Alligator mississippiensis: one gene and its partners. The protein of the gene in region 4 purifies or fractionates together with the protein of the main gene of each other region. This does not show direct contact. Links are inferred from orthologs where the notes say so. Each region holds a gene or a part of one and is shown on either strand. Other genes may lie near its edges.

Evidence for each region.
Region 1: the proteins of PHLPP1 (region 4) and USP46 purify together in Homo sapiens (affinity purification with mass spectrometry; 7 studies listed by BioGRID and IntAct, counting the BioPlex papers as one, with this or other methods). This does not show direct contact. The link is inferred for Alligator mississippiensis from reciprocal best matches to the Homo sapiens genes PHLPP1 and USP46.
Region 2: the proteins of PHLPP1 (region 4) and WDR20 purify together in Homo sapiens (affinity purification with mass spectrometry; 4 studies listed by BioGRID and IntAct, with this or other methods). This does not show direct contact. The link is inferred for Alligator mississippiensis from reciprocal best matches to the Homo sapiens genes PHLPP1 and WDR20.
Region 3: the proteins of PHLPP1 (region 4) and FKBP5 purify together in Homo sapiens (affinity purification with mass spectrometry; 4 studies listed by BioGRID and IntAct, with this or other methods). This does not show direct contact. The link is inferred for Alligator mississippiensis from reciprocal best matches to the Homo sapiens genes PHLPP1 and FKBP5.

What each region holds. Positions count from the first base shown.
Region 1 is NC_081825.1:58,528,129-58,535,248, reverse strand, and holds the start of USP46 (ubiquitin carboxyl-terminal hydrolase 46), read left to right. Parts: upstream 1-4,111; 5' UTR 4,112-4,436; coding exon of another isoform or gene 4,437-4,472; intron 4,473-5,299; 5' UTR 5,300-5,340; coding exon 5,341-5,421; intron 5,422-7,120. UniProt on the Homo sapiens protein: Deubiquitinating enzyme that plays a role in behavior, possibly by regulating GABA action. May act by mediating the deubiquitination of GAD1/GAD67.
Region 2 is NC_081825.1:284,945,787-284,953,287, forward strand, and holds the start of WDR20 (WD repeat-containing protein 20), read left to right. Parts: upstream 1-4,501; 5' UTR 4,502-4,545; coding exon 4,546-4,809; intron 4,810-7,501. UniProt on the Homo sapiens protein: Regulator of deubiquitinating complexes. Activates deubiquitinating activity of complexes containing USP12. Anchors at the base of the ubiquitin-contacting loop of USP12 and remotely modulates the catalytic center of the enzyme.
Region 3 is NC_081837.1:36,310,613-36,318,490, forward strand, and holds the start of FKBP5 (peptidyl-prolyl cis-trans isomerase FKBP5), read left to right. Parts: upstream 1-4,875; 5' UTR 4,876-4,927; intron 4,928-7,878. UniProt on the Homo sapiens protein: Immunophilin protein with PPIase and co-chaperone activities. Component of unligated steroid receptors heterocomplexes through interaction with heat-shock protein 90 (HSP90).
Region 4 is NC_081826.1:126,085,965-126,093,908, reverse strand, and holds the start of PHLPP1 (PH domain leucine-rich repeat-containing protein phosphatase 1), read right to left. Parts: upstream 3,009-7,944; 5' UTR 2,994-3,008; coding exon 1,904-2,993; intron 1-1,903. UniProt on the Homo sapiens protein: Protein phosphatase involved in regulation of Akt and PKC signaling.

The DNA of each region.
Region 1 (7,120 bases), on a different chromosome or scaffold from region 4:
CGTCGGGTGTTTTAGGGCAAAGGGGTTTAGGATCAAGACATTGATAGTGTTCCCTTTTAGGGCTCGTCTATCTTGGTCCCCTTTTGAGGGTAGATTAGTGGAGTCCTTAGCACCAGGCGAGGGTGGCTAGGACCCCATCAAAGGGGTAGAGAGGAGCCACGCAAGAACGCACTGGCGGCTACTGCCAGCAGACACAGAGGGCTAAGGGCACTGGAGAAGACAAGCCCAAAAGCTGAGGGTCTCCAGACCCTCCCACCGAGGTTCAGCCAGGGCCCTGGGTGGTCATCGTCGAGAGGCAACGCAGAGACCAGGGAAGACACCAGTAGGGGGATAGCCGCAAAAAGACTCAGAGGCCCGTCTCTAAGGGTGGCACATTGGGTGTAGGGGAGGTTGGAGCCCCGTGAACGCCCGCCAAGATGCGTGAGGACTCGAGGCACCCTCAAAGGGGACCCCCCCCCACACTAAAGAACCACTCAGAGTCGTGGCAGGTGAGTTAGGAGGTCACCCTGAAGACAGCCGAGGTGCCCTCTGCGGTCTGCACGTAGGTCCCTGGCAAGCAAGATCAGCTGCTCGGGCAAAGGTGGCGCGGAAGCGTACAATAGAGCGGAGGCGGGCACAGATGCCAATCAAACCTTGTAAATTACCCAGTGCCAAACAAACTATTTTGGTATCCTTTCTTGATAAACTACAAACATTTCACAGCATTCTTTCAGGCTGTAGACTGTTGAATCAATCCATAATTCTGCTACTAAATATTTTTTTCTATGGCACTACTTGGCATTCTATAAAGTTGTTTCTACATTGTCTTATCCATTGTTGTATCTTTCCTTCCAGTCGTCTTTTCCCTAATCTCATCATCACTTTTATATGAAACTAGCCAATTGCCCATCAAGAATGACAAGGGGGAGGGGGCTGGGATGGAGTGCTGCCACCTAACACCCCATGCTGCCACTATTCTGCCTCTTCCAGGGAGCAGGATGGGGGAGCTGAGGCCAGTGCTGTTGGCCTCGGCTCCCCCACCGCCTGTCCAGTCCTTGGTGCCGCTTGCAGGGAGCGCTGCTGGCTTTGGTTCCCCCACCCTCTGTCCAGGCCTCAGCGCAGCTTTGGAATCATGGCAGTGCTCCCCCATGATTGGAGCACTCTGATTGCCTGTTTCCATAGTCAATCAGAGTGTGAATAAAGCGTTATGGACAGACAGACTTTGGCTTTTTTAATGTTAAAATGTTTAAGATTTAAAGAAGTATTTTTTCATGTTTCTTGATTTACTTGCAAATAAAGACCAGAGATTGTATTGAGATGAGACCAGATTTACTTGGTCTCATCTCAATACAATTACTTTGAACTGTTTCAGATTCATTTCTTTCTTATTCCTATTCCTGAAATGCACCGCTAACACAAACCATTTTGATTGGGAGAAACATGAACTATTTCGGTACCTCATGATTGATACATGTGGTATTTATTTTTAATGTTAAAAGCTAAATGAGGAGTTTTACAATGCTGCTAGTCACTTATATCAGTAGAAAAATCAAATAATAACTAAATGTTGTGTGCTGATTATTCCATGATAGCTATTTTTTCAAGACTTTTAAAGATTGTTTTTAAAGTCTTACCTTCTGTCTTGACTTGATGTTTGCAGTAATCAGTGTTGCATTTGCAATTATTGCATGCCTTCACATGTACACATTATGAACTAAAAAAGTGAGCTAAAATAATATTAGGGCCAGATTATTAGCCTGGATCGAATCCTCGTGATGCTCCACTAATTGAAAGAGGTCTTGAAAGTGGCAGTGGGGCACTGTCAATGTCGTAGGAATCCCTTTACAGTATAAAGCCAGCACTCAGGTCTTTGCCGTCTGTTCCTTACGAAAGGAAAGTGACATGTTTGAAGCAGGCTAGGGACAGCAAAAGGCATAGCACTCTAATGATCAGTGGCTGATAAAATGATACCTATGTGGCTCATCTGTATGATTTAGAGCTACTAGTTGGCTTCTCATGCACATTGGAGTCTATTCCAGGCCCTGACTGATCCAGCAGCCAAGTGGAGAGGTGTGTAATGTCACCTCTTGATTCCCACCAGCTTCCCCTTAGCTGGGTTAGGCATAGCTCTGGTGCAGCTGAGAATCTAGGTCTAATGAAATTCAATTCACAGGATTGAATTCATCCGTGTGTAATTCCATGAAGTCAATGGAGGATGAAAGACAAATTTGCTTCTGTGTTTATTTGAGTTTTATATAAAGTAAATTTTGTACTTATTGGGGGACCTGGCTTAATAGCTCTGGTAAACATACAGGTGGAACTTAACATCTGGTTCCCCCACTCCCCCACCATGGCATTAACATGTGTTTACTCTGATTAGTAACGATGAATTCAGGCTACTAGGGATAAGACAGTAGTTCGTCTCCACAGTATCTCAGTCCTTGGCCTCTCCACTGAAACTGTCAGCAGACCAAATTAGTGTCGATTTGGATGGTGACTTTTGTAATATTGGCATTCGTTCACTATGAAGTGGCCTGTGGCCAGCAACATATATTACTAAAACCAAATAACAGCATTCTGCTGGTAACATTTCATTTTCAGTCCTCTTGATCTTTTATTAATGATCGCAGACCTGACCTTATTCTGGAAAAAAACAGGTTCCATTGATTTTAGGGTGTTTTGCCTACCTAAATGCTGTGGGTTCAGGCCCCAGCACAGTGAAGCTGCTATTGTCTAGAATCCTACTGTGGTCAAAAGTATACCCAAATTAGCTTTCAGGCTTTGAGGAGGGAGGAGGAGGAAATGAGGGAGAGGGAGATGAAGAGAAAAACATGTCTTTTGCCCCGTATAGTTATTCTTGCAGTGTTTAATTCTCTGGGGGTAAAGTGGTTGCCTTAATGCAGAACTGGGTGTGTGCCAGCAAGGCAAGTGCCTAGTACTAGGGGTGTGTGAAACAGGCCAAATTCAAATCGATTCGGATTTGGCCTGAATCAGGGACAGCAATTCAATTAGTTGATTCGGATCACTGTCCCTGATTAGATTTAACCGAATCCTAAGATTTTATGCTAATTTGGATAATCAACGATTTGGTCATTTCGTATCAATAGAGTAGCAGAAAACCGAAATGTCCTTTATGATGGCCACCCTACCTGAGCAACAGCTGGAGGTGGAAGGGAGGTGGTGGGAAGGCTAGACTGGGCACTGCTCCTCCTGCCAGGGCGGGGTGGGACAGGGGAAGTGCTGCTGTGAGGGCTCCTACTGCTCACATGTGTGTGTGTGGCACCCCATTGACCATGGTGTCCTGGGCCATCACCCACCATTTCTGGGGAGAAAGTGTGAGCGCATTGTGTCTCAACACAAGTCTTTGTCGTGCCGTACGGGAGCAGCATAGTCATGTTCCCAGTATGTTGTGGGCCTCAGTTCACTGATGGTTGGCAAGTGCTCTGATTAGGGTGGCCATTAAGGTATCTCAAGAAAAGAGGACACTTGCACTGAGGCCCACCACGAATGTCGTGTGCCTCCTGAAGCTGGGGGGCACCCTGAGCCCCTGCAAGCAGCCGTGGCGGGGCGTGGTGGCATTGAGTGGCAAGCTCCTGCAGGGCACTACGGGGGGCAGGGGGTGCCAACTGGTGAAAAATAGAGGATATAAAGGCATCCAGTTTCATATCAATAGAGGACGGAGGACCAGAAAACCGGACCACTTCTATGAAACGGGACAAATGGCCGCCCTAGCTCTGACCCCGGGGCAGGAGGTGCTATGGCAGCGCCAACGCCCAGTCCTTATTTCTTCGGCCCCACGTGCGGAGGCACAGTCCCCAGGGACCTTCAGGTGTGTCTGGGAAGCAGGGGACAGCGCAGCGCAGGGCAGTCCGTGGTGGGGTCTGGAAAGCTCCCGACACCTCACGCTGTTTCATACACAACAAAACCCTGCGGCTTCATTAGGCCGCCGCCGGGACCCCGCCCCGCCCCCACCCCCGCAGGAGCCGCGAAGGCGATTAGCTGCGGCCAGGCCAAGAGCCCGCCCCGCCCCGCCCCGCCGCCCGCAAGGCTCGGGGGCGGCACCTGCCCGTCCTCCCCGCCTCGCCATTGGCTGCCGCACGAGCAGCCCGGGCGGCGGGTTGGCAGGCGCGGATGCCAGTCGCGCCGCGCTGCCCGGAGCTGTCAGCGCTGCCGCGGGCTCTGCGCTAAGCTGCGCCGTGCCGCGATGGAGCGAGGGAACCGGGCCGCCGGGCGGGGGCGGGGGCGGGGGCTGCTGCGGCCGGCCGTGCAGTGCTGCTGAATCGGCTGCTCCGAGGAGCCGCCGCGGGGAGGGCAGAGGCAGGCCGGCAGCCCATGCTCCGCCGCCCGCCGCCGCCTGCCCGGGGGCTCTGGTGCTGCTCCTGCTGCCCCCAGCCATGAGCCCTTCTGTTTTCCCCTGGTAAAGATGGCGGTGGGCGATCGCTGCAACCTTTAGACTCATGACTGTCAGAAACATCGCCTCCATCTGTAATATGGTGAGTACCCGCACGGCCGGGCCGGGAGGGGGCGGGCGGCCGAAGGGTTCCAACTCCGCCCCCAATGCCCCGGGGGAGGGGGCTGCCTCTCGCTGCCCCCTGCCCCTGGCGCCAGGACCTCCAAGAAAGAGGCCCGAGTCAGGATCCTAAATCCCTGGGTAGGCTCCTAGAGTAGGCAGCTTCATTTCCCAAACAGCCGCCCCCCCGCGCTGCAGTCACCCACACTCAATTGTTTCACCAAATCCAGGTGCTTCTTTAAGCACCTCATTATGGACTTGGGCACCAGCTTTAAAATCTTAGCTGCGGGTCCAGGTCCGCCTGCTTAGTCTACCCCCTGTAAGGCATTTCCAAACCCCCACCCAGCTGGGATTTCAGTGGATGCAAATGGGCATTGCTTTCAGCCCCATATGATCCTTGTAGTGCATTTTGAAACACGTCACCTTTCCCATGGTCTTCTAAAAGATCCCAAAAGTGCATTTAAACAGGAACATTTTGTCTCTGTTTTGTTGGGTCCTTGCCCCCCGCAGCCCCACTGCTCGAGGACAGGGAGGGTTGTGCAGTGTACATTCAAGTATACTTTTCATTTTGACACTGTGACTGTCAAGGCTGGTTTATTAGGCCACGTTGCCTGTGGATTTTTAAGATGTTTGTTATCTGGGGGCTCTAAGACTTTCTGGCGAGCGATTTATTCAGTAATTCTAGAATGAAAGCAGTCAAACAAAATAAATCCATGTCAGGAGGAAGTGTTAAATGTCCAAAACAAATAGGGCAAGTGCACATTCCAGCACTTTGTTGTTTTAGTTTATGCTTTTCCCCCTTGTTTTCAGGTTCTTCAAGAGCAGTTACTTGCAGTCGCCAGCTTCCCTCCATGTGGTGCCCCAGCATACCCTTTGCTGGTGATGTCACACCTACCATTCATCAGCACTGGAGAATGGAGCCTACCTATAGGGTAAGGCAGTGGTTCTCAACCTCTGAGTTGTGACCTCCATGGGGGCCACCAGCAGTTGTTCAAGGGGGATGAGGGTTGTGAGCCTGCTCTCAGTCTGGGTCCAGTCTTCCACTGAAGTGGGTTTGCTTGCAACCAGTCATTCTTGGATGCCAGGAGCACCCCACCCACAGTTCTACCAGGTCCTCACTACCACCTTTGAAGCACCTGTGCTGAGGTGTATTACTGGAGGACTGGACTTGGATCATACTATGAAAAAGGTTGAGAATCCCTGGGGTAAGATAATCTGGGTTCTTACCTTTCCTCTCCAATATTATGTGATTTTTCTAAAGTTTTTATTGCACTTATTTTTTTTAACCACATGGGACAAGAGGCAAGCATATTGCAAAGAAATATTTAGGAAACCATGCGGTATTGGGGGAGAAAAACCTGGATTTACTTACCTTACCCTATAGGCAGCGTTCAGTTTATATTGTTGATGAATGGTGGATGTGATCACCATAAAAATGCATAACAAAGCATCACATGAAGGGAAGCTGGAGATTGATAGCTGGTTACAAAGATTTAACATTGGCATGCAGCCTTAAGAAACCTCTGTTTTCATAACACGTGCCCAGATTTTTCCATATAGACAAGCTTTTGCATAATATTTCTCCCTCGGGGTCTAGGAGGGCATCACACAAAACTGAACTAGGCCTGCATTAATTCAGGCTAGTGCTGCTCTTACTACTATCAATAGACATCTGCAAAAGTAGCATTTTAATATAATGGAGGAATTAAAGAGGGCAATGAAGCAGTCAAACAGAAAAGGGGGAACAAGAACAGAACAAGTGAGAACAACTCATACTTCAGGACTAAGTTTGGTTCCTTACTCTCTTCCTGGTGTCCTGGGTGACAAGAATGTGGAAGGAGCAGACTCAGCCTTTGAGGAAAGGATGCATTTGTATTCAGCATGGGTAACACAAAGTGTAAAAATACTACAATTCAGATATCTACATGTCATAAGCTTGATGCAAAAATAATGGTTTTTAAAAGGAAATGAATATTGGGATTGTTGTATTCTGCTTTTTGCATCTTTGGGTGATTCTAGTTCTGTTTACAAGCTTTGACCACTATAGCCACAGAGGTTAGAACCTCTTTTGGGAAAAAAAGAAAGCTGAGATTCTTGCAGCATTCCAGGAAGCGAAGAGAATTTAAGAAAGACATAAAATACTATAAGAGTTGGTGATGCTCTAGTTACTGGACCTCTGAAAATGAGCATAGCTGCTCGAAGGAGCTATATCAGTGGACCCTAGAGGAACCTAGGTCAACCCTAAATAAGATGACTTCTGTGATACATACTCTGTTGCAGGGGGAGCCAAGAGATCTAAAAGACTCCCAAAAAGAAGAAAACAAAATAGTAAGGTGGAGAAAGAGTAATACAAATAAGGATGTCATTAGCAGAGGCACTACCAGTACAAAGGAGAAAGCATTAGTGCCATTGTTCAAGGGACTGGTAAGATCTCATCTAGAATAATTTGTACAATTCTGGTCACCCATGTTCAAGAAGGAGGAATTCAAACTGCAACAGGTGCAGAGAAGGGCTACTATGATGATCACTGGAATGGAGAACCTATTTAGTGAGAGGAAACTAAAAGATCTTCGCTTGCTTAGCCTTGTAAAACAAAGGCTGTGTGTGGATATAACTGTGTACTACACTCAC
Region 2 (7,501 bases), on a different chromosome or scaffold from region 4:
CACATGCGCCCGCATGCACCCCCTACGTGTCACCAATGATTTAAGATCAAAATAGCCAAAGCATCATTCAGAGAAGTGACCTTTTCTTTCATTTCCAAATGTGCTGTAGTTTGACAAACACTGAAGAAACTCACTTTAGACGCATTGATTCTAGACAGTACTCCCCAGTGTCAAACTTAGGATTCCCAAACAAGCTCATAGATAATTTAGTCAAAAGATCGCTAGAGAAGCCTAACTATCTGAAGCTAATATTCTAGATGTAGCACACCCTGGAGTTAGGCTAGGACATGTAGCTGAAATAAAGTTAGGAACAAATCTACTGTCAGTGGATAGATGGCAGACATCCACTCTCATCTGCCTGAAACTGTCTGTAGCACGTTGACCTTGAGATATGTTTTACCTGAGAGAGGCATTAAGGATCCAAGGAAATATTCTGAGTCCTTTTCAGAAGGACACAGTCCACAAGTAGTAACAGGAAAACTGTGCTTCCTCCAGTAGATCCCTCTTACATGGAATTTCATAAGGATCAATTCTTTAAACAACCACTATGTCAACTGGTCTGATAAAGACTCAAGTGGTGGCAATAAACAGATAACAGCTCTACCAGTCCCTCACCACACGCTATTAAGCCACTACTACTGAGATGGCCCTGCAGAGAAATAACAGCTGGCTGAAGCTGAACCTGACAGGTGTGGGGTCAAACTGGGTTTGAAGAGTTTGCATGGTGAAATCGCCTTTGACTGAGGCACAATTGCTCAATTCAACATGTAGTTTGGGAATGCTTTTGGCTTCCTCACTAACACTAAAATTCTCACAAGTAACTTGCCTATCATTTTTGGCTTGATAAGTGGCTCTCACTAACCCTGGCAGACATTAACCTGGCCTCAGTTATTCAGACAGGGAGCCACACTAGCTTGCCACAGACAGAAGGCAGGGTAGATTGGCATCAGACTGAATCAGAGCTACACAAGTAAGCGACAGTTTGCTTCATCAGAAGCTAGGAAGCTGCTGCTTAGTAAGGCTTGCACATCTCCAATTTAGTCTGCAAGGTGCTGTGCGGGCTGGGTCAAGCCCCGGGCCCTTTTTGTCGCTCTGCACGCGGGCTGTGGCCGGCAGCCTGGGCAGGCCGGGTCAGAGAAGGAGGTCGCCGAGCTAGAATTAGGCACAGACGCGTAACGGTTGATTTTAAGATTGTTTACTTACACCGAGATGGTCGCGGTGCAGGCTGAGAACTTGCTTGAGTTACAGTTGCGGATAGAAAAGAAGAGAGGCGGACTAGAGTTCCTCCGGGAACACTCTTCTAGCCCATCCGGTTGGAGGCTCTAAACCGCGAGCCTGTCAGACCAACCGGAGAAAGTCCGTCCGGTAAAGAGCTCTGAATAGACTCACTCACACGAAGTTTGCTAGGCTCCGTGGATCCGTCTCTTTGGCGTGCAGGGAAGGATACGTCTAGGATCGTACGGCGACGGGGAGAGGCTAGAGGCTGATCAGACCTCTGTTGCCTGCTTAAAATGCTTTGGGTCCGTGAGGATCCGCAGCGCTTAGAGATCTTCACACAGCGTGAAGTCTCCTTCTCCTGGTGTTCGTGGAGTCCTCCAACTAGGGCGGAAACCACACAAGCCTTTTATACGGCTAGCAGGCCAATCGCTAGCTGTCACATGTGAATAATTTAACGTAAACCAATAATGGGGCTCGAATTAGAATACAAATGGCAGGAACTCTTTGCAACGTGCATCACCGTGCTGCAACTTAGAAATGCACACTGCAAAGAAAGCTACGAATTGGCGGGAACTTCTTTTGCACCCGGGGTTCTCTGTTGCAGCAGAAAACTCCACCGTGCAAAGAAGCTGCAATTTGGAGGGAACAATTTAGCGGGGAGCAATTTAGCTGTGCCGAAGCACACAAAACAAAAACTCACAACTTGGGTTGTGACAGGTGCAACTCTAACTTCCTTCTGCCTTGGTCACTCATGCCTTTATTGCCTCTTAACAGGTCTGCAGCAACACTGTCCCCAGAGGCGAGATGTCCTCAGGAGTGTGTTGGTGTCAGACCCACATCACCAGACCCAGAGGCTCAGACCCACACTCATTCTAGTGCACCTTAGCCTGGGTGTGGGCTACTGAAATGCAGGGGGAAGACTGAGCTTGACAACTTTGCCCACTCCAGGCACCAGGGCCTCTCCCCACTGCAGCTCTCACTGCCCCCCACCTCCTTTGCCTTCCAGGCCCTAACCCCCAGCAGAAGCACCAGCGCCTCTAATCAGTGTCACCCTCAGAAGATCCCCTGCCTCCCCCCTAAGCAAACCCCTGCTCTCTGCTGCAAGACGGGAAAACCAGGGTGGATTTGATTCAAATCAAATTAAATCATGATTTAAATCACTGGTAAGGGAGCCTCGATTTAATAATTGGTTTCTAAAAAAAGTGCATTCTTGTAGTTTGATATCCTTTATTAACTTCTTGAAACTTTGCACTAAGAGGTAAGGGCTTGACTGTGTGTACACAAACTTGCAGAGAGACAACAGGGCTGATGAGTGGGTAATCAGGTCTGTTCGCTCTCACCTCCATACACTGCTGTTCACAAGGATGTTATCTCTAGAGACAACATGCTCCCCCTGTGCTTGAAGAAGGGCGTTTGTGCCCAAAAGTTTGCAAAGAACAATTTTTTCAACTATTTAGTTGGTCTAATAAAAGCTATTGTATCTACCCAAAGAACCTTGTCTGTCTATGTGCTCTAGAGACACAAATCCAGTTTCATAGTTTCTAGGGGCAGAACAGACCTGAACAGATCATCAAGTTCGACCCCCTGCCCTGGGCAGGAATGAGTGCTGGGATCATAATACCCCAGCCAGATATCTATCCAACCTCCTCTTGAAGACCCCCAAGGTAGGGGAGCGCACCACTTCCCTTGGGAGCCCATTCTAGAGCCTGGCAGCCCTAACCATAATGTATGGCTTAAGTAATGCCTCCTGGTATCAAGCCTGAACTTGCTTTCAATCAATTTGTGGCTGTTATCCCTTGTTATTCCAGGTGATGCCCACGGGAACACAGCCTCATCTATTTTCTGCTGGTCCTCCCTGGCAAATTTATAGACAGCCACCAGATCCCCTCTTAGTCTTCTCTTGTGGAGGCTGAATAGATTCAGGCCCTTTAGTCTATCTTCATAGGGCCTGGCCTGCTGCACCTGGACCATACGAGTGGCCCTCCTCTGAACCCTCTCAAGGTTAGCCACATCCCTCTTCAAGTGCAGTGCCCAGAACTGGATGCAATACTCCAACTATGGCCTAACCAGCACTGCATAGAGGGGAAGGATCACTTCCCTGGACCTGCTTGTGATGCATCTGTAGATGCACAAGGTGTAGTTACCTTATTGACCACTTCCTTGCATTGGCTGTTCATGTCCGTCCTGGAGTCAACAATGACTCCAAGATCCCTTTCGGCTACTGTGTTAATAAGAAGGGTGTTCCCTAGCCTATAGGTATGCTGCAGGTTCCTTCTCCATAGATGCAGCACCCTGCACTTGTCTGCATTGAATTCCATCCTATTCTCATCTGCCCACCTCCGTAACTTGTCTAGATCTAGATGAATTCTGTCCCTCCCCTCCAGTGTGCCCACTTCTCCCCCACATCTTTGTGTCATCAGTGAATTTGGACAGCGTGCTTTCCACGTCCACCTCTAAGTCACTGATAAAGATGTTGAATAGCACAGGCCCAAGGACCGAGCCCTGGGGAACTCCACTGCCCACATCCCTCCAGGTTGAAAATGACCTGTCCACCACCACTCCCTGGGTACGACCATTGAGCCAATTTGCCACCCATCTGACTGTGTAGGCATCAATGCCACAGTTGCCTAGATTTTTTATGAGCATGGGGTGAGAAACAGTGTCAAAGGCCTTCTTGAAGTCCAGGTAGACGACATCCACCTCAACACCTGCATCCAAGGACTTTGTGACCTGGTCATAAAAGGAAACAAGGTTAGTCAGGCAGGATCTGGGCCCCTAATATATAGCCCATGGCCTGCTGTGACCTATTAATAAAACATCTAAAAAGGTTTAATGAATATATTGTCTCAAATAGTATATGACTATAAGTTATAATCCCAATTCCATGATACCTTTGAGCTTTAACATAAATTAAAACTCTATATGGTTTTTTTAAAAAAGCATCTTAACCAAAAAAAGATTAAATTAAAAAAAAATCTGTTTGAAATTAAAAAAAAAAATATATTTTTTTTAATCGTTTTTTTATCCACCTTGGGGAGGCACGTGGGCCAGAGCACGGTGGCCTGTTTACTACGCCTCTGCGCATGCGCTGGACAGCTACCCCCCCCTCCCCCTCTCTATTCCCACCCTTTCCACGAGGAGAAGCCCCGCCCCCCTCCGCGGCTGGGGCTAAGCGGGCAGCAGCCCCGCCCGCTCATGCGCAGTGGCGCCGTAAACAGGCGAGCGGCTCCTCCCCCAGCACGGCGCCTGCGCGGACGCCCCCGGGCAGGGCGAGTGAGCGGCGGCGCCTGCGCAGTGGGGCTACATCCGGGCACTGGGGCAGGATGAATGCTCCTTTCCAAGATGGCGGCGGAGGGAGGAGGGAAGGAGATGAACGAGATTAAGACCCAGTTCACCACCCGGGAGGGGGTGTACAAGTTGCTGAGCCACTCGGAGTACAGCCGGCCCAACCGCGTGCCCTTCAACTCGCAGGGCTCCAACCCGGTCCGCGTCTCCTTCGTCAACGTCAACGACCAGAGCGGCAACGGCGACCGGCTCTGCTTCAATGTGGGCCGGGAGCTCTACTTCTACATCTACAAGGGGGTCCGCAAGGTACCGCGGGGCCGGGGCTGCTGCGGGGTGGGGGCCTGCGCCCGCAGCTGTGCCCCGGGGGAGGGAGCCCAGGCCCGGGGGACGCGCTGCGTCAGGCGGGGCTGCGCCCGCGCGGCGGGGCCTTTGCCGCCAGGTGCCCCCGGCGCTGGCCCGTGTCGCTGCGCGGGGCCTGGCCGGCCTCGGCCGTCCCCTGATCGCAGTCTCTTGTTGGTGCCCCGTGAGTGCTCGAGGCCCCGGTCTGGCTTCTTTCCCTGGGCCAGGAGACAACTGCGCTGCTGGACGTGGGCAGAGGCAGCGATGTCGGCATAGGGAGAGAGGGGTGTGTAATCTCTACCGCCTTTGGGACCCTCGCCCCCCCCCCCCCCCCCCCCCCCCCCGGGCCCCTGTGCTCGGTCGGGGTGGGAAGCCGAGGCACGAGGAGAGCCAGCGACTTGCCCAAGGTCATGAGGGGAGGCTTGTGGAAATGCTGCCTGGGTCTCCGGGGTCCCTGGGGAGTGCCCCAACCGCTCCTTGCTAAGCACAGCCAGGAGCTGAGGTTCGGTTGTCAGTGACTGAGGGCCCACTGGATCCCATCCATTACTAGTTTCTGTGAAATGGGTACATGCGCTTGTTCGCCTTCATGCCTGCTGGGTCAGTCCGGCTTGTTTGGGCGGCTCTCAGCCACATTTGTGAATTTCAAGACTTAATTATCAACTGGTCTTTTTTTAAGTTCCTGAAAAGTATCTGGTGTTTGAACAGAAATATTTCTCACTCATGCGAAACAGTTGCTAGCTTTACTACTTTCCTTTCTATAGGGAGGATGCAGTGTCCACAGATCACTGGCAGCAGCCTCCTCTCTTTATTCTGCCACCCATATAATCTAGACTTCTGTGTCTGTTGTGTGTAGGGAATAGCTGCAGATTTCTGCAACTGTTTTACTTGGAGCAGGCTTTCATGTAGCCCAATTACAGTACATGTGACCCTTGCCAATCTCCTTTTTTAATTGATCTTTCTTAAAAGTAAAGAAAAATCCAATGGGTGAGAGTGTCTCTAGACCAGGAAACTTCTACGTGCCAGCTTTAAAGTTTATACACTTTATTTGCTGTTTTTAAATAGTTTTTCAGTATCTCTTCAGTAAAATGGTATTTACGTTTGTGGGTGGGTAAAATGTTGAAGGCAGAGTAGATTTGCATCCTTAACTAAATAAGACATGCATAGTATGAACTTTTGTGAGCCTGAGCTCACTTCATTACATGCTGTTGAAAATGCTCCTATATCTGCCCATTGGGTGTCTAACTTAGGGGTTTTGATGCATAAGAATAAACATTATACTAGATGCCTGTTTTCCTCTGAACAACATTGTAAAACATACAAGAGAGTTGTAATGAAATTTGTATTTAAGAGCTTGTCAGCAATTTTACCAATTTGATAAAGGCTATAAAAGAGATGATAGTTTTATTTATGTAACTTGAGGGTTAAAGTTTTTTTTTTCTTTTTTAAAAATAATTTTCTTCAATAGACTTGGTTACTTTCCTAATCCATTTAGAATAAATCGGTTCAAAAACTTTAAGTTAATTATAACACATGCAAATTTGTCGTCTTGTTGAAACTACAAAATAAATTGTTATTTTTACATCTTTCTTATTGCCAACTAGAGTTAAAAGTCTCTTGTTTTGACTGAAGTCAGTGTGAATTATTCCACTGACCTCTACTAGGGGCACGGGCTTTCCACCAGGTTTAGATAACTGTTTCTGTAGCAGAGCTTTTTTGCAGGTTACTGATTCTTCTTTAATATATATAATACTTGATTCAGCTATGGAAGAGTTGCAAAGTAAATTATTAAACTCTTGCAACTGCTTTCTGAGTAGTGGCTCCAATGAGCATTACTGATATAAAGAAACCTTTAGATATGCAAAACTTTCTCTTAGCAGTCTGCTGGAGTTCTTTGAGTATGGCAACAAGCATGTGTGGATAAGGAGGATACAGTTGTTACAGTATACTTGGATTTGCAAAAAGCCGCTGACAGTCTCTTGCAAAAAGCTGAAAGAAAGTAGGCTGTCCTGGAATCAGAAGGGGAAGAAGGCCCTTTCACGTACTGAAAACTGGTTAAAGGGTAGGAGTTGAAGTGTAGGATTAGATGGTGACTTTTCAGAATGGAGGAAGGTAAACGGTGAGGTCCTTCAGAGAGCTATGCTGGGACCTGTGCTGTTCTGCACATTCAGAAATGATCTGGAAAAGGGAGGTAGTTAAGTGGCAAAGTTTGTAGGTGATACAATTTTGTTCTTGATAATCAAAACTAAGGCTAATGGAGTTGCAGGAAAATCTCTTAAAACTGAGGGTAATAAAGAGGCATATCAGCATTGAAATGATCCCTGCCAAAGGGGGAAAAATAACCCAGGCTATACATCCCCAGTGATGGCCTCTGTATTAGTTATTACTACTCAAGAAAGATTTTGATGTCCCTGTGGAAATTTCTCTAAAAACATGAGCTCACAGTGCACTGGTAGTCAAAAAGGCAAATTAAAAATATTAAGTATCATTAGGAATTTATATGAAGAAATGGAAAATGTTCTTACATAAAATGTAGTACAGTCACATTTTGACTTCTTGCAGTTCTGGTCACTCCATCTCAAAAGAATATACCTGACTTAGAAAAGGTTCAGAGAAGGGCAACAAAGATGATTGGGGTATAAAACTGCTTTTGTGCTATGAG
Region 3 (7,878 bases), on a different chromosome or scaffold from region 4:
AAATCCTCCACTTCCACCTAGTCCAAGTGGTTTGGAGAAGGACCCCGCAGAAGTTTGAATGATGCTCAAGTCGGAGCTACTTTTCATGAGAATCCTCTTCAGGATTGCTGCCGGCGATGCCAAACAGCTGTGTTCCCTTTGCCCCCACCTATGCACTGCTTAATAGAGCCCTGCCCACATGGTATTATGGTCAGAGTTAATGGATTTGGGACTTGGATGGATGCCGTTAAGCAGGCAGGGGAGAGAGGAAATCACCTGGTGGTTTTTGATATCCACAGGTCTTTCACCTGATCTGTTCCCATGTTTCTGGAGGCTTTACTGGAACCCCAGGAGTGCATTAGTACAGAGATGTGGAGTGTGTAGTGGGAGGAATGCCATAGCATATCACATGCATAACCCAGCAAGCTCAACATAGGTGGAACATGCATGATGCAGTCTATATGTTATTACTGGGACCTGGAGGAATGAGAATGGAGGCTTTCCTGGCTGCACCCTTTCTAGACAACCATCCTGTACAAACCCTTCCTGTTATATATGGCTTCTGTTCTATACATTGTCCCAATCAGTTCAGACACATCACAAACCAGCCATAGAAAGAGTGGCTGAAACTTGGCATGCTACCATTAGCAAAACCAGGCTTGATCAGACCAGCAGAGAAAGCAAGTACTGGTGTTAGGGGTCTTCCTCTTCCAGTATCCCTCCCTCTTCTTCAGGCCCAGTTTCTCAAAGAACCTCAGCATTTAAGCTGATTTTCACTATGATGACAGGTCACAGTAGGAGAGGCACGGCTGTGACTCAAGTCAGTAAAAGCCACTCAATCAAATAGAGAGTAAAGTGTGTGCACAGAGAAAGGCAACACAGCTTGTGCAAAAATTTCCAACACCAGAATGATCATTATGTATACCATTAATGAACAGTGCCATTGCAGGGCTAAAACAACCTTTCTTTTTCTTCTAAGATGCTTTGGCAGTAAGTACCTAGCTCTACATAGATAACATGTTCCTGAGTACATGCCTCTATGAAGTATCAGAGCTGTGTTATGTTCTCCCACAGTAGCAGCTGATACAAATTCTTACCCGATATTACCCTTTGGTTGACAGGCAATATCTTTTGCATAACAAGGACTAGAAGCTGCAGCACAGTTAAAATTATATTAATGTTCTATCCCAAATTGCCCAAAGGCAGGACATTTAGGTTTACACAACTGGCAATCTCAGCTCGAGAGAGGCCCAGCACCTGAATAACGGTGTTGAGTTAAGACTAAGGGACACTGGCAGAGCTGTGGGGTACACTGGATTGTCTGGGCTCACAGCTGGAATAGCAGAGGCTGTTTGTGGGTCACGGCTGGCATACACTGGGGGAAAAGAAGGGGTTGGGGTGACAGTGTTGAAGAGGTGCTTTAGTATGTCAGACTTGAGGCATGCTGCCAGAGCTGGATGTGAACCTACAGCAAGAATGGGAAGGGGTGCTGTAGGTTGGGGAAAGATGCACTGGTAATGTTTTATGCAGATACTTGCCAGCAGATGAAGTTAGTGTGACTAATACTTGACTTTCTCATCTACTCTAAATTCACTTATAAAAGCCTAAAGAGAAAAAAAACAAGCAATCGGAGGCTTCTATTTTGCTCTGAATCCAACCACTTTAGCATAAGCATTGCAGAGGTCTCAGAACAGTGTGATCTTACATAATGCCTATGCTGCAATACACAGGCACAAGAAGGTGAACTGAGGACAGAGTGGCTGCCTTAGCTGTGAATTTCCTGGCTTTTGGGAGTTTACGTCAGTCTCACTGTTTTAATGTCCTTTTTAAATTTAATTTCCTTCTAAAATAGTACTATAAAATTAAGGAGGGGAGAGAAATAGGGGCGTGATAAGCCCCAACTTTTAAATAGCTAGAATTTGTTACAGAACATCATCCAGATTGAAAAGTGTTCTTTAAAAGAAAATTCCATCACATTCATGCCAAGTGATCATTTTTAAAGAAAGTAGCTGCCATTTTTGTGGTACAGTGTGAAGCCAGTGTGTGAGCTCCTCCCACTGACTTTCATGGTATCCAGTGGAGATATGGTGGAGGACTCTGGCCTCACTCATGCTTTCTGCACAAAATAAGTGGCCTGTTTCGCGTTGGCTATCTTTGAAGCCCGCAATAATGGCTTGTTAAATGGGAAATAGAAGTGTTGGGGTTGGGTCAGGGAAACGATGTAACGTTTAAGGTTATAGGAGGATTTAAAATGAAAGTTAAAACAATGCTGGTAGATTTTGTTCCTCGTGTATTTATGAATGTCCAGAGTTTCCCCACTGCATTTCAATTAGGCAAAAGCTGTGTTAAAGTAACTCCCCCTTACACTGAACCAGCTGCTACCTTCTAAATTTCAGTTTCAATTTTAGCCTCTCATTTCCAAGGCATTCTGTTGGTCTCTAAAGGCAAAAAAGCTAACATGATTCAACATCACATCAAAAAAACAGACACTGCCAGAAAGAGATTAATAACATTATAAATCCACTGACAAATAAGCTTGTCCTTAGGTCACCTATTGTAGCAATAAAAGGGGGAAAGCCAGGTCCAATTGCAGATTTATAGTAAGAGGTGGTCCTTTGCAGATGAAAAACAAATGAAAACGTCTCCTTTGATATTTGTACAGCTCTCAAGACAATCAGGTCCTGACCATGGTTGGGGCCCTGGTTGTCTTATAATACCAATCAAGCCAATTAAAAAGGAAATAAAAAGGTTGGAGGGTTGGACTTTCAAATGCTCCGTGCCCAGGATTGGAGCCAGGCTTCCAAGAGTTTAGGGCTGGTTTGACCATTTGTCCGCTGCTGCCAGTAAACCAGAACATGAGACTGAAAAAATACAAGTAATTTAGCTACTTTCCCTGTCCTAAACTGACAGCTACTGAAACATAAAGTGCAACACTAGTGAGAAGGTATTACATTACACACAGCATTCTGGGTTCTAGCTACAGTGCTGTTTCCAATACAGTTTAAAACAAAAGTCTTAAGCCAAACAACAGCCACAATCATTACAATAACCATCATTTCCTCCAAAAAATTCCTTTCTAGCGCTAACTTTTAGAAAACTACAAGAGGGTTTGTTTTTCTGATACAATGCTAAAAATAACAGCCAAGGGAACAAACCAGAAAACTATATGTTCTGATAACAGGGCTAGTCTAATATTAAACCCATAAAACAAAGAAAAGAGGAGTTTAGTTAGTGTTTAACTCCCACCCCTGCTGTGTCTCTAAACAGTGGTCAGAATATGCCACATGCTTCGAAAGCCAGGCATCCACCAAAGGGGTGGACTGAGGACAAATGGGTTTAGCTTGAAGATAGAGAATACCTTGACACAGACTTGCAGGCCTCAAGTAGAGCAACTCTTTAGCACTGCTGGGCTAGTGCAACAGAGTTAGGTAGGGACTGACTCCCTTGCAACTGGGGCGACAGAGCTGCTGAGTCAGTCTGTGCAATTATGTTCAGAGTTGAAACACGCAGCCCACTTTTTCCCTGAAGAGCTCACTCACTCACTCAGCACAGGGAGTGTAGAAAACCTGGCCCCAAATGTGTCACGGGGCGAGGGAGCTGCTGTGACCTGAGCCCCCTGGGGACATTGGGAATGTTGGCCAGCGCTCTCAGGTACAGGAGTCTGCCCCCCGTCATACGCACTTCCCCAGGCAAGGATACCCTGTGCGGCAAAACAGAGGGGGAGAGGGGAGCAGGAGAAGGGAAGGTAGGAGCCAGTCTGCTTTCACTGTTGCAGCAAGCAAAGGGTCAGAGGAGACAAAACAAATAAATAAAAAAGCCAGTTGTAGGAATTTGTGGGTTACATTTTCACATGTGGGTTCACTGGTTTTCTTTCCACTCTTGTGGGGGAGGATGAGAGACCCCCACACCAAGCAAAACTGAGCAGTGGAAGGAGTGACTCTGAATAGTATTATTAATAGTATTAGTAGCAGTAGCATTACTATTTTTGTTATCATTTTAATAGTACTATTATTAGTGCAATGTCGTTTGTATTACTATCATCACCATCATTACTGTTGTTGTTGCTGTTGTTATTTATTTATTGTTGCATGATGATAATTACTATTACTGTTATTGCTGTTATCATCCTCTTCCTCCTCCTCCTTGTTTTGGCCATTATTATTATTATTGCAAGATGATGATGACGTTATTGCTGCTGGTATCATCATTGCTGCGGCTGTATTTTTATTGTACCACGATAATGATGATGATCGCTGCTGGTATCATCACCGTCATCGTTGTTGCTATTATGACTATTTTTATTTTCATTCCTTGTACCTTGAGGAGGAGGAGGACTATTATTGTTGCTGCTATTGCCATCATCCTTATCGCTGTCGCTGCTGATATCATTTATTATTTCTTATTGTGCGATGAGGAGGAGGACGGCCCCAGCAGTAATCCTCATCGTTGCTGCTGCTGTTGTTATTATGGATTAACATTTGGATCGCATCCTGATCACGGCTCGGATCAGCATCAGCTCTGTTGTAATGACTATTTCTCCTTACGGGTATCCACGACCACTTTTGTTGTTATCGCTACTCTTCTTCCTCTTCCCCTGCTCACTGCTGGGGGGGCGATGATGGCTCTTCCCCGCTCCCAGAGCCGCGCTGCCCCGCGGAACGAGCGGCTACCACTCCCGGCCCCGAGGCGCCGCGCAGCGCCGGGCACATCTGGGCAGCTGCAGCCAGCCGCGCGCTGCCCCCGGCCTCGAGCTCAGCACCCCGGGGGGGCGGGGGTAGAACACCCTGTTGATTTGCATGCGGGAGCAGAGATGGCCAATGAGCAGGCGGCTCGCCCGGACGGGCAAGGCTGACTGCCAATGGACGCGCCGAGGGGCGTGGCCTCGCGCAGGGGACCCGCGGCCGGCGCGGGAGCTCAGTGCATTCGCAGCGGGCAGCGGCGGCGGCAGGTAGCGGGGCTGGGCAGCGCGGGGCGGGTGGGGGATCTGTTCCGCTGCTTCCCTGTGGTGCAGGGTGCGAAATGCAAACATGTGGAGCTCTTGGTTCCCAAATGCTACCTCTGATTAGACCAACTGGGGAATTTTAACTACAAAAAAATCGCTTTTTTGGGGGTGGGGGTGAGTGTGTGCACGGAAGCTGCGATGTGTGGAGGGGTCTCGAGGCCGAGCCCCAGCGCCTTCGGCCCTGAGCGTTGTGCCTGGTCTCTGGACATCAAGGGTGGCAGGCAGGGCGCCCCAAAGCCAGCTCCAGCCCTGGTCCTGGGGAGCCCCGGGGGCTTCGTCCCTGCGAATCCGTCCTGGGTGTCCGATGCCACCGAGGGGCATCCGGCTGCCCGGGGGTAGATGCGGGGCCTGCCCCCCTGCCTGGCAGTGAGCGAGCAGGGGGGGATGGATGCCTTTGCTGTGGCGCATCTTGTTCAAGTCGCAACAGTGTCATTTTTAACCTGGAATGTTTAATTTAGCAAAAGTCCCCGCGTCCTTAGTCTTGTTTGCCCTGGGTTTTTGTAAAAATGAAAAGGTAAATGTTCTGCTTTGCTACAGTTTTACCTGTTTGCAAACAGGACTTTCCCCCTATCTGCTCCGCTGCTCTGCTTTCTGCTCCCCGGTCTATCTGCCCCTGTGCTGCCTGCCCCCTCCCCGCTCTGCCTCGTGCCACACACGCGCTGCCTGTGACACTTGTGGCACATATGCTGGAGCTTGGCCACCCATTTTAGACCGGCTGATTGACAACTGGGCTGCATGAACCACAGGCAACCTTTTACCCACTGCTGAAATGGTGTCCTGCGACTTCCTATAGCTGCGCTCTCTAGGGCACTGGAGCAGAGACCCCTTGGTCTGCAGCAGTGATACACCGCACAAAGGGGGGCTCTTTCTTTCTTTTTTTCTTTCTTTCTCTAAAAGCCAAAGCTTTGTCACAAAACGAAGCTCTTATGTCAAGACACCAGTATTTTTCCTAATGATACCTGCCTAAAATATCCTGCGAAGCGTAAAAATAAAGACGTGAGAGAGAAGTTGGAGCAATTATAATAAATTGCACAAAATAGACATGATTTTAGGTTCTTGCTCTTATTTTCTCTCTCTTAGTCAATAGGCAAAATAGCTGTCGTGAAGCTGCTATTTTCCTGCTGGTAAATGCATACTCGGACAAACATATTGATACCACAAAAGAATATCATTTGCATGATGGGATGTAAGAGCTTTTGACGAATAAATTCAGAAATAATGCATGTCTTGAGTTGATGAATTCCAGTCCACATCTCTAGTGATGTATTCAAGATGCCTTTCGACGCAGCTTTGTATAGTTTTGTCTGCATGATGAGATTGTCTGTGTTTAAATAAACAGGGCTTTGCTAATGGTAGCTTACGTGGTGTAGGGGAGGCCTGAAGGTGCCAGTTTGTGAAGTGCCATCCCATCAAATGAGCAAACTGATGGTATTAAAATATTGCTTTCTCATCTGTTTTGGAGGATAGCTGATTTTAAATCAAGACTTTAAGGTTGGCTGGGAAAGATGCTGAAACTTGACTTAAAACATTTTAGCCAGTCGTCATGGGGCAAGAGCCGTGTTCAACCCGAGTATAATAAACAATTGAAAAGAAAGCTTTTCCCGTGTCCCGAAAATATGCTGGGGAAATTTTTTGAATTCTTTTTTCCTCAAACCATGTGTGAATACTGCTCCATAAGTATAGTCATTGCTCCATAAGTATAATCACGGCAGAGGAAACAAAGAAATGTTTTTAGCCACAGGAAGAAGAAGGCAGCTGGCTGCTATGGGCAAACTTCATAAAGATGCAGTAGGCTTGAATGAAAATTAGGTAGAATATTAATGAAGGAAAGGACTTTGCTGTCAATCTGCAAGCCCTAGTTGGATTGCTGAATGTGCTGGCTTGTAATCTTTAAGTGTGTGTATATTATAATGTTTGAAACAAAATACCTCTTCAAGTACAAGTATTTGAGGAGGTATAAACATCGCCGAGGCAGAGGAAATGATTACCACCATGCACAATGGAATTTCTAGGGGAAAAAAATGAAAGTGAGCAAGGGAACAATGTACTCGCAGTACTGCGAGTGCTAGGAATTTTACTGGACAAAAATGTAGTCCCAGTTGCTGAGATATTGTGTAATGTTATATAGGAAGTGATGAATGAGGGCAGTGAACACTTGGGGAGATGGAGAGTGAAGGGGAAGGAAGGACAGAGTGTTAGAATAAGATCTTGCACTTAGTATAGGCATAGATGTGCCTTGACTTTACAGTTACTTATTTTACGTTCTTGGGGGCACTTGTGGAACGTAGCTCGAACACTGGAGAGAACTGAACAGTCGTCTTTTGCTGCACAGTATATGTATTGAAGCCTCACAGGCTACACCAGTGATGTGTAGTTCAGTAGTTATTGTGGATGGCGGGGGGACTCGAAAGTCAGACCAGGTTTTTGTTCTCTCGTCTAGCACAAACTGGGGCAGTTGCTTTGGACCATATCAGGCTTCTTGTCTGTAAAATGGGTATAAATACTCATTTTGTTTTGAAGTACTTTAAGATCCAGTGTTTCTCAACTCATGGGCTGCAAAAATATTTGAAAGGGTCACAAACTTTAAAAATGGGTTCTCCTTTAAAGGAGAAAATTGTGGGAAACCGTGGTTTTTCCCTTGCAGGCTGGTGGTCCAACCTCCATGGGGCTGCTTGGGCCACCCCCCCATACCCCACGTACCCACCTGCTGCCCCACACACTGGGAGGCAGGGGGCAGTGGGTCAGGAGTGAGGGGCACTGGGTTGGGACTGGCCATTGATCTTTAGAAATGGGTCCTGGTAGAAAAAAGGTTGAGAACGACCGGTCTAGCAGAACTGTAATGGAACAAAGCATTACAAAGGTCTCAAGTTGCGGCAAGGGAAGTTTAGGTTGGATAT
Region 4 (7,944 bases):
TCATGTTATAAGTACACACGCACACATACTTACACAGAGAAATAAATTTAGTTCTCCCAGGGACTGTGCATAGTTTTCTTTCTTTAAGGAAACAGATGGGTGGGGAAATACAAAGCAACTCTGCAACCCTATATCATGTTTTACATAAGTAACTTAACTAACAGCCTCAGAAACATGAAATTCTGTGCAGTTATAAAATTAACATTGTTACAACTTCTATCCCCTCTGCCCCTCCACCTCCCCAACTTCTGCATGGCAAGTCTCAAGAGCAAAATTTCTAATGCAAGAGCGGTGTTGTATTTTGGGTGTGTTGGTCTAAGGACATAGCCAGACAAGGTTCTTTGGGTAAATCTGATATTTTTTATTAGACCATCAAAAAGTTTTAGTTAGTCTAATAAAAGATACCAGATTTACCCAAAGAACCTTGCCTGCCTGTGTTGAAATCTGGGCACCTGACCAAGATTCTTGATAGATATGTCCTCCACTTATTTTGCATTTAAAATACTTCTACACTTTATTTTCTTCAGTAAAACCCCACTGCTATATAAACACTTAATTGCTTCCCAAATTAACACGAACGTATTTCTGAGAACTAAATGCTGTCACTAAGTCGCTCAAGTCGTAAGCTCCTGCTGCTAACCTGTACAAGTGCAAGCCAACCAAAGTGGTTTGCTACCCATTTCTCTAAACTTGTAAATTAGGGAGCCAAAGGCAAGTCAAATAAATGGTTCAAAGCCAAATCCAGCAGACAGCTCTGCTAAACCAAGAAGAAACTAATTGCTATTATGTAAACATATATTAGAAAGACAAACTTCTGTCATGAATCTAACAGAGAAAGACAAGTGCACTTCTACAAGAACGCAATACCTTACAACCAATTCAAACCTGAAGGGCAAATGTCAAATATGCCCTCATAGAAAGGAACACATCGCAAGCTAACCTTCTGGACCCAAATATCATGCAGGATATGGACAAAACCCAGATTCATAAAAAGGAGGCAGGGGGTGGATAATCACAAAAATTCACAGTGTAGTTAGTGGACACAGCAGAAACGCCCCACCTTTGGCTAAAGAAGGCTTTTTGAGGCAACCTTGCAAAAATTCATCTCCAGGCTGCTAGTGTCTGGAGTCTGACTCCAGAATCAGTTCCAGCTCTTTCCCCCCCCCCCGGGTCTAGTTTTGTTGCGCAAGGAATAAAATAAAGTTTCATTTTTCCTTTTAGAAATAAAAAGGAAAAAAAAAAAGGCTGGTAGGGCAGATAAAGATGACAGGCTTTTGGAGATGGATATTACTAGTCTGCCCACAGGTTGGGGAAGGGGGGGAGGGAGTGGTAACTGCATGCAGATTTACACTGTGACCCTAGAGCAGCAGCCCTCAAGCCTTGAAGCACCCCCAGGAAATTTGAGGTGCTCCTTTGAAAGCATTTTGCAGTTTTCACTGCACTTTAGAGTCAGGAAAGAGAATGGAGCCCTTCTTCTGTTGCCAGGAAGACCCCAGCAGGGCAAAACGCTCTTGACACTATGGATTCCCATTTTGCAATCTCCCCTGACAGAAGGGTCTCCTCCCGCAAGGTGCTTTAGACCCCAGAAAATCTGGGTGGGAAAGGGCTTCAGGAGGCCATCTAGACCAACCCCCCCACCACTCCCTAGCTCAAAGCATGACCCTCCCCAACCCAGGCTTCAACCTTAAATCCCCTAAGGATGGAGATGGCACCACCACTCTGGGCCTGCTCCGGGGCTCTACCAGCCTCCTGAGGAGGTAAGTTTCAGGTGTCTACCCTCCACTTCCCACAGCCTCGCTCCTTGGGCGGCTGCGTGCTGCCCCCCCGCACTGTGGCACCCACGGGGTCTGTCAACCTGGCAGCCCCTTCTCTCCCCCCCCCCCCGCCCGGCGGTAGCGCTGACCTGCATAGAAGCGGATGAGGCAGCCGGTCTCGGGGTCCAGGCCCTCCTCCTGCACCCGCCACAGGTCGCGGAAGCCGAGCTGCGAGAGGTAGTCGTTCTGGATCTGCAGGGGCCGCTCGTGGGCCTCCAGGCGGCGGCTGGTCTCGCCGTGCAGCTGCACGTACAGCGCCCCCTCGGGCGCGGGCAGCTCGGCCGGGCGCGGGGGCGGCGGCGCCTCGGCCTCCAGCTCCTCGGAGGAGGAGGACGAGGCGGACGAGGCGGCGCTGCTGTAGGCGTCCAGGCGCCCGGAGGCGCTGCCGGGGCTGAGGCTGAAGCCGTCGCTGTCCGACAGCTCGCCCAGCAGCGAGGGGCAGGAGCGCGGCGGCCCCGCGGCGTACAGCTCGGGGCCGGGCAGCGAGCGCGGCCCGGCGGGGCGGCGGCCCCGCGGCTCCCCCGGCACCCGCACGGCCCCGCCGCCGCCGCCCAGCCGGGCCGCCACCTGGGCCGCCGTGGTGTCCAACGTGCAGAGCACGGGGCGCGGGCCGGCGCCGCTGCGGCGCTCGCAGACGTGCACGCAGCCCCGCTGCAGGTCCCGCCGCACCCAGTCCCGCTCGGGCGCCGGCAGCGGCTGCAGCTGCCGGGCCGGCTTCAGCCCCGCCGCCTTCCTGTCCAGGCTGCGGGTGGCCGGCGCGGCCGACAGGTTCCTCTTCAGCCGCCCCCGCCGCAGCAGCAGCGAGTTGGCGCCGCCGCCCGCCAGCGCCGAGCCCCCGGCCGCCCCTCGCCTCTTGCGCGGAGCCGCGGCGGCGGCGGCGGCTTTGCCCGGCAGCGGCTGCTGCTGCTGTTGCTCCCGCGCGGGCTCCATGGCCGCGGCTGGCGCCTGGGTGCGGGGGCGGGGCGTGGAAGGCCGGGCGCCGCCGCGTTCCGCCGGGGGATTACGAGGCGGCCGCGAACATTCCTGCGCTGTCGCCGCGTTCCGCGCTCCGCGCCTCAGCGCCGCTGCCCAGCTGTCGCCAGCGCCATTAGGGGCCCGGCCGCCTCCCTCGCCCGGCCCCGCCCCCTTCGCGCGGGGGCTCATGAATATGCAGCGGCCCCCGCCTCGGGGTGACGCCATGCCGCCCTCTGCCGCGCGCATGCGCAGTTGGGGGCGGGGCGGGGCGGGGGGCGCTGGGGGATGTAGGCACCTCCTTCCCGCGTCCCGGCTGAGGCGGCGTTTCCGTTCCTCCCACACCCCCGATCCCGTGGCTGGTCTTAAGCAGGGGCAGGTCTTTCTCACTTTCCGTCTCCCAAGTCCTTGGTTTCCTTTCTGTTCCGTCCGGGCAGAGCGCGGACCAGCTGCAGACGCTTCCTTCGCCTGACCGAAGGGTGTTTGTACCCGCAAAGAAAAACTTTTCCAACTTCTTTTCGTTGGCGGGGGCTGGTCTGAGAGGGAGGCACGCCTCCCCCGCAAGCCCTTGGTTTCTTTTCTGTTCCATCCAGGCAGAGCACAGACCAACGGCGGACGCTTCCTCCACCTGACGACGGGTGTTTGTACCCGAAAGCTTGCAAAGAAGAATTTTTCCAACTCTTTTCGTTGGTGGGAGCTGGTCTGAGGCAAGCCTCCCTCCCCCCACAAGCCCTTGGTTTCTTTTCTGTTCCGTCCAGGCAGAGCACAGACCAACGGCAGACGCTTCCTCCGCCTGACAAACAGTGCTCGTACTTGCAAAGAAGAACTTTTCCAACTATTTTAGCTGGTCTAATAAAAGATCTCCAATTTACTCAAAGAACCTTGTTTCTCAAAAGCAGTCCTGGCTTTGCAGGGAGCTGTGCCCCCGCCCCCACCCCAATCTGTTGCCAGGTGTACGATAATTATCGTATATGTACACTCGTTTCAACCCTTGTACAATGTACCAGCAATGATAGTAAAAGCACTCAAAATGTACGATGGTGTCCAGGTTGCAGCTGTACAGGTCTAGAGGAAAAAAGCAATCAGGGCTCATGGACAGAGGTGATATTTTTTATTAGATCAAGATTTACAATATTTTATTTTACTAGATATCTTTTATTAGACCAACAAAATGTACAATCATTTTTGAGGGATATAGGTTGTGGCATATAGCTGTAAGAAATGGACACAAACAGATCACAGAGCAACTCCCTCAAAAGGACTCTGAGGAACCAAGGGGAAAAATGTCCATCCTTTACCTCCCCTGTGCAAAATGAAGTGTCTTTTCTACCTGGGAGAACTTTTACAATCTTTGAGTTCTCCTCAGCCTGACAAGGGTGTTTGGACCCAAAAGCTTGCAAAGAAAGAAATGTTTCTGCTACTATTTAGTCGGTCTAATAAAAGATAACCACCGCTCGCCCGAGAGTTTTGTTTGGCAATAATTTTTGAGGCAGACAAAACTCTTGGGCGAGAGGCGATATCTTTTATTAGACCAAGTAAATAGCAAAGAATTTCTTTCTTTGCAAGCTTTCAGGTTCAAAGTTTTGTTTGAATAAAAGATACTGCTTCTAGTCCAAGAGTTTTATCTGCTTCTGCTTTTTAGACCAACATGGCTACAACCTATATGCTGATAATTTTTTATGTTTTTGTCTATTAGATGTTTCAACTTTGACAACCCAGTTCTCACTCTATATTGCTCTTTGTAAGGTCCAGTGAGTAATATAAAGTAGATAAGACTTATTTGCATGCTTATTTGTATATTTTTTCAGTGTACAATAGTTTTTCAGCAAATATCATTTGAGCTTCTAATATAATAATTTCAAATTGAAGACCTGGCAGCACTGCCCCCCACCACCAACTTCCATCCCAAGGCCCATGGGGCTGGGCTCTCTGCTCGCTCCCCTCATAGGGTTGCCAGCCCTCCAGGATTGCTTTGGAGTGCCCAGGAATTGGACTGCTGAGAGTCACCTGGGAGATAAATGATAGGACATTCATTAAATATTAAATGTTGAGTCCAATGTATACAGTAGTTCAGTGGGTTTTTTAAATTTAATAGTAATGTGTATTTGCCTTCCTGACGTAAAATCTACGCACTGTAATCCATAATTGATATATGCAAGCAGGCAGACACATTTGTGTTGTGTGTCGCGGGCACGTTGGCATTCTAGAAACCTCCCGGAATAGATTCAAATAGAGTCCGCAACCCTATTTTTCAGTCTTCCAGCTGCAGCCCCTTTAAAGAGCCCTGAGGCCTTGGGGACCAGATTAAGAGCCAAACACAGCCCTGAGATAAACTCCCCTTTCCATGTCTCCCTCCAGCCCAGGGTTCTCAGGGGGTGCAGGACCCTGTGGTGCCTCCAGATCCTTCCAAAGCTGCCTCCAGATCCTGTCAAGTGTGCCACGGGGATGTTAGCACTCTTAGGTGTGCAAACATGACTCACAAGATAAACCCAGAGATCCCACGTAGGCACACGTCATGTTACCAGCGTTCTACCCCGCTGTGCTCTTCCTGAGGTCTTTGCAACACAATTGCTCCCTTATTTTTCAGTAGTCAAAAAAACAAGTGGAAGAGCTGGAGCTTTCCAGGGGGTGCCTCGAGTCTATCGACAGCTGCTTCCAGTCCAACAAGGTTGAAGGTCACTACTCTACCCCCTCGAGACCCTCTCAGTCCAGAGGGCCTGGCCACAATGCAAGCTGGAACCCCAGGGCCCTGGTGCTGCCATGTACTGCAACTTTCTCCTTCACGTGGCTTAAGCTAGTTTTTAAACCTATGCTAGGACTTTGTCCCCAACTCCGTGGTTCCAAGGAATCTGAAATCTTATCAGGGGCTTTGTTAAAAATAGCTGATCAAGGCAACTATAGGGCCTGGGACACTGATACTGGAATCTATGCTTCACGTCACTAGAAATTCATCAGTGTTCACAAGTAATTGCCAGTTCATAGCTTCTTAGTGGCTGGTGTGAAGCAATATGGAAGTCTGTTCACCTCATCCATGCAATTAAAAAAATAATAACCCCTGCTTCTTTTTTTGGTGAAGAGGTCAAGGACTGAAAATGAAAAGGGTGAGCTATGCTTCTTATTCCTTGAGGATGGTCAGAGCCAGGGGGAAACATAAATTTGTGAGGAAACTTGTGCAGCTGCTCTGTGTGTTTGATGAACAGAGACAAGACTTTGATTTTTTTTTAAATGGATAGAAGCGACAGTGAAGCTGTACAATTTTCCAAATAGAATTTAAAAATATATATTACAATTGCAAAGACTGGATAGAGTTTAACCAAGCAAATGCATTCATTTTAATACTATACAGACACAGTTCTTTGGTATTTACTTAAACAATCCTCTTCTGGAATTCACGGGTGAAGTTTTAGCTAAGTAATAATCAGCTAAATTATGCTCTAACTTTTTAACATACTTTTAAAATATGATTTATAAAGGTGTCAAGAAACATTTTGCCAAATATTTGTTAGAAACACCCCAGGCTGCACTAAATTGATAGCCTTTGGCAGTTAACCAAGTAACATCAGCATGATGGCAGACCAAAATTGAATCTTCCTTATTAAGAACCCTAAGGCCCCTGCTACACATTACATATTATGCAATCTACTGGTTAATCACACAATAAATCTCAACTGGTCACACGTGTAAAGTAATTATCACACAATAAAAATGATTATTCAGGTATAAAAAGACCAAACTAGCTATAAGTTAGTGCTTGAAAATGTGTAACAACTCTAGAGCTGGTTTCATCCAGCTTTAGTTTGAATGTGTAGCAAGGCCCAGAAAAACAATGCAACGTGAAAGTACAGATTTACCTGTGAACTTATAAACAAGGAAATCAAAATTCACCCTTCACAATAATGCAGTCTTTAACGTTTGTTCATTATTTTGATCATCTTTTATATCTTGTATAAGTGTGTTACAGAGAAAACACATAAGAGGTCTTCCCTAAATAATGTATCTTAAAAAATTATTTTATTTTCTATTAAATAGGTATCCAAATTATAGAACGAAAACAGTAATTATGTTCACAATTTATTTTCACTGGGTGATAGCTGTCCCTTTGAACTGAGTGATTTGTAAATGAGTTGCTCTGTCCTGAATCTGCAAAAATCTTGTCTATACTAACTGCAAGCAAAAGCTTCTTTGGAGTTATTTCTAAACTGAGTAACCAGAATCACATCCAGAAAGCAAATTAACAAAAGTTAAGTGCAGCACTCAGCCAGTAAAGGCAACCTTTGAAGGGAGTAATATACAGCAAAAGTGCGGCACTGTCCAGTGTTTCTGTCTACTTCTCCACTAGTTTTCTTGCTGTAAGTAAACTTTGATACTGTTGCTAAATTAGGATACATGTTTAAGAATGAGGCCTGTAAAGCACTAAGGGTAGACATCTAAGTGATTCCAGTTAACTTGCAAAGAATTGTGAAGGGTCAAGAAAAAGTAGACTATTGGAGATGAGAAGGTTTGAAAAGGAAGAATTTAATATTCATCAGCACTGACCCAGTGTATTTCAAGTGTGTTTTAGTAGCCTATTTTTTCTACAGAGAGAGAATTTGCCTACAGAGAAAAAGGCAAGTTGGCTTTACACTGAAACAGAAGCCAAGGAAACCATGTCAAATAAAGCAATATCATAATGTTTTTCTTTGTATAAAGCCTGTTTTCAAAGCAATGTTGGATTTCATCAATAATGATATGACTGAGGGTTTTTTTTAAGTTCAGCTTGCAATTCCTCTTGTCATCTCTATGTGCAGTTGCCATGATTGTGAAAGCAAATTGGCTTTGAACACATACAAGTGACAAAGAGCCAGCAATTTGTGCCTGCACTTACCCAAGTCATGGGCTTGGTCACAGTGATTGCATGTATACGCATGCTCACTGCATATTTTGCTCATCTAAGGCCATGTTTTAAGTAGTAGTGTCCTGGAGCATGCCATACTGCTTTCTCCAGGCTGTCTCCTAAACTGGAAGCAATGTAGCAGTGGCACAGGGAAACCTGAGGCAGGCTAAGCAGCCAATCTACATCATGTGGCATGCTTAGGGGCATCACTGATGGGGCACAGTAAGTTTGTTGTGAAGATACACCCTGAACTTGTTAGGCTCCTTCAAGAGAGCTTTTAAGGAATTGCTTAAATCTACCCCTTAT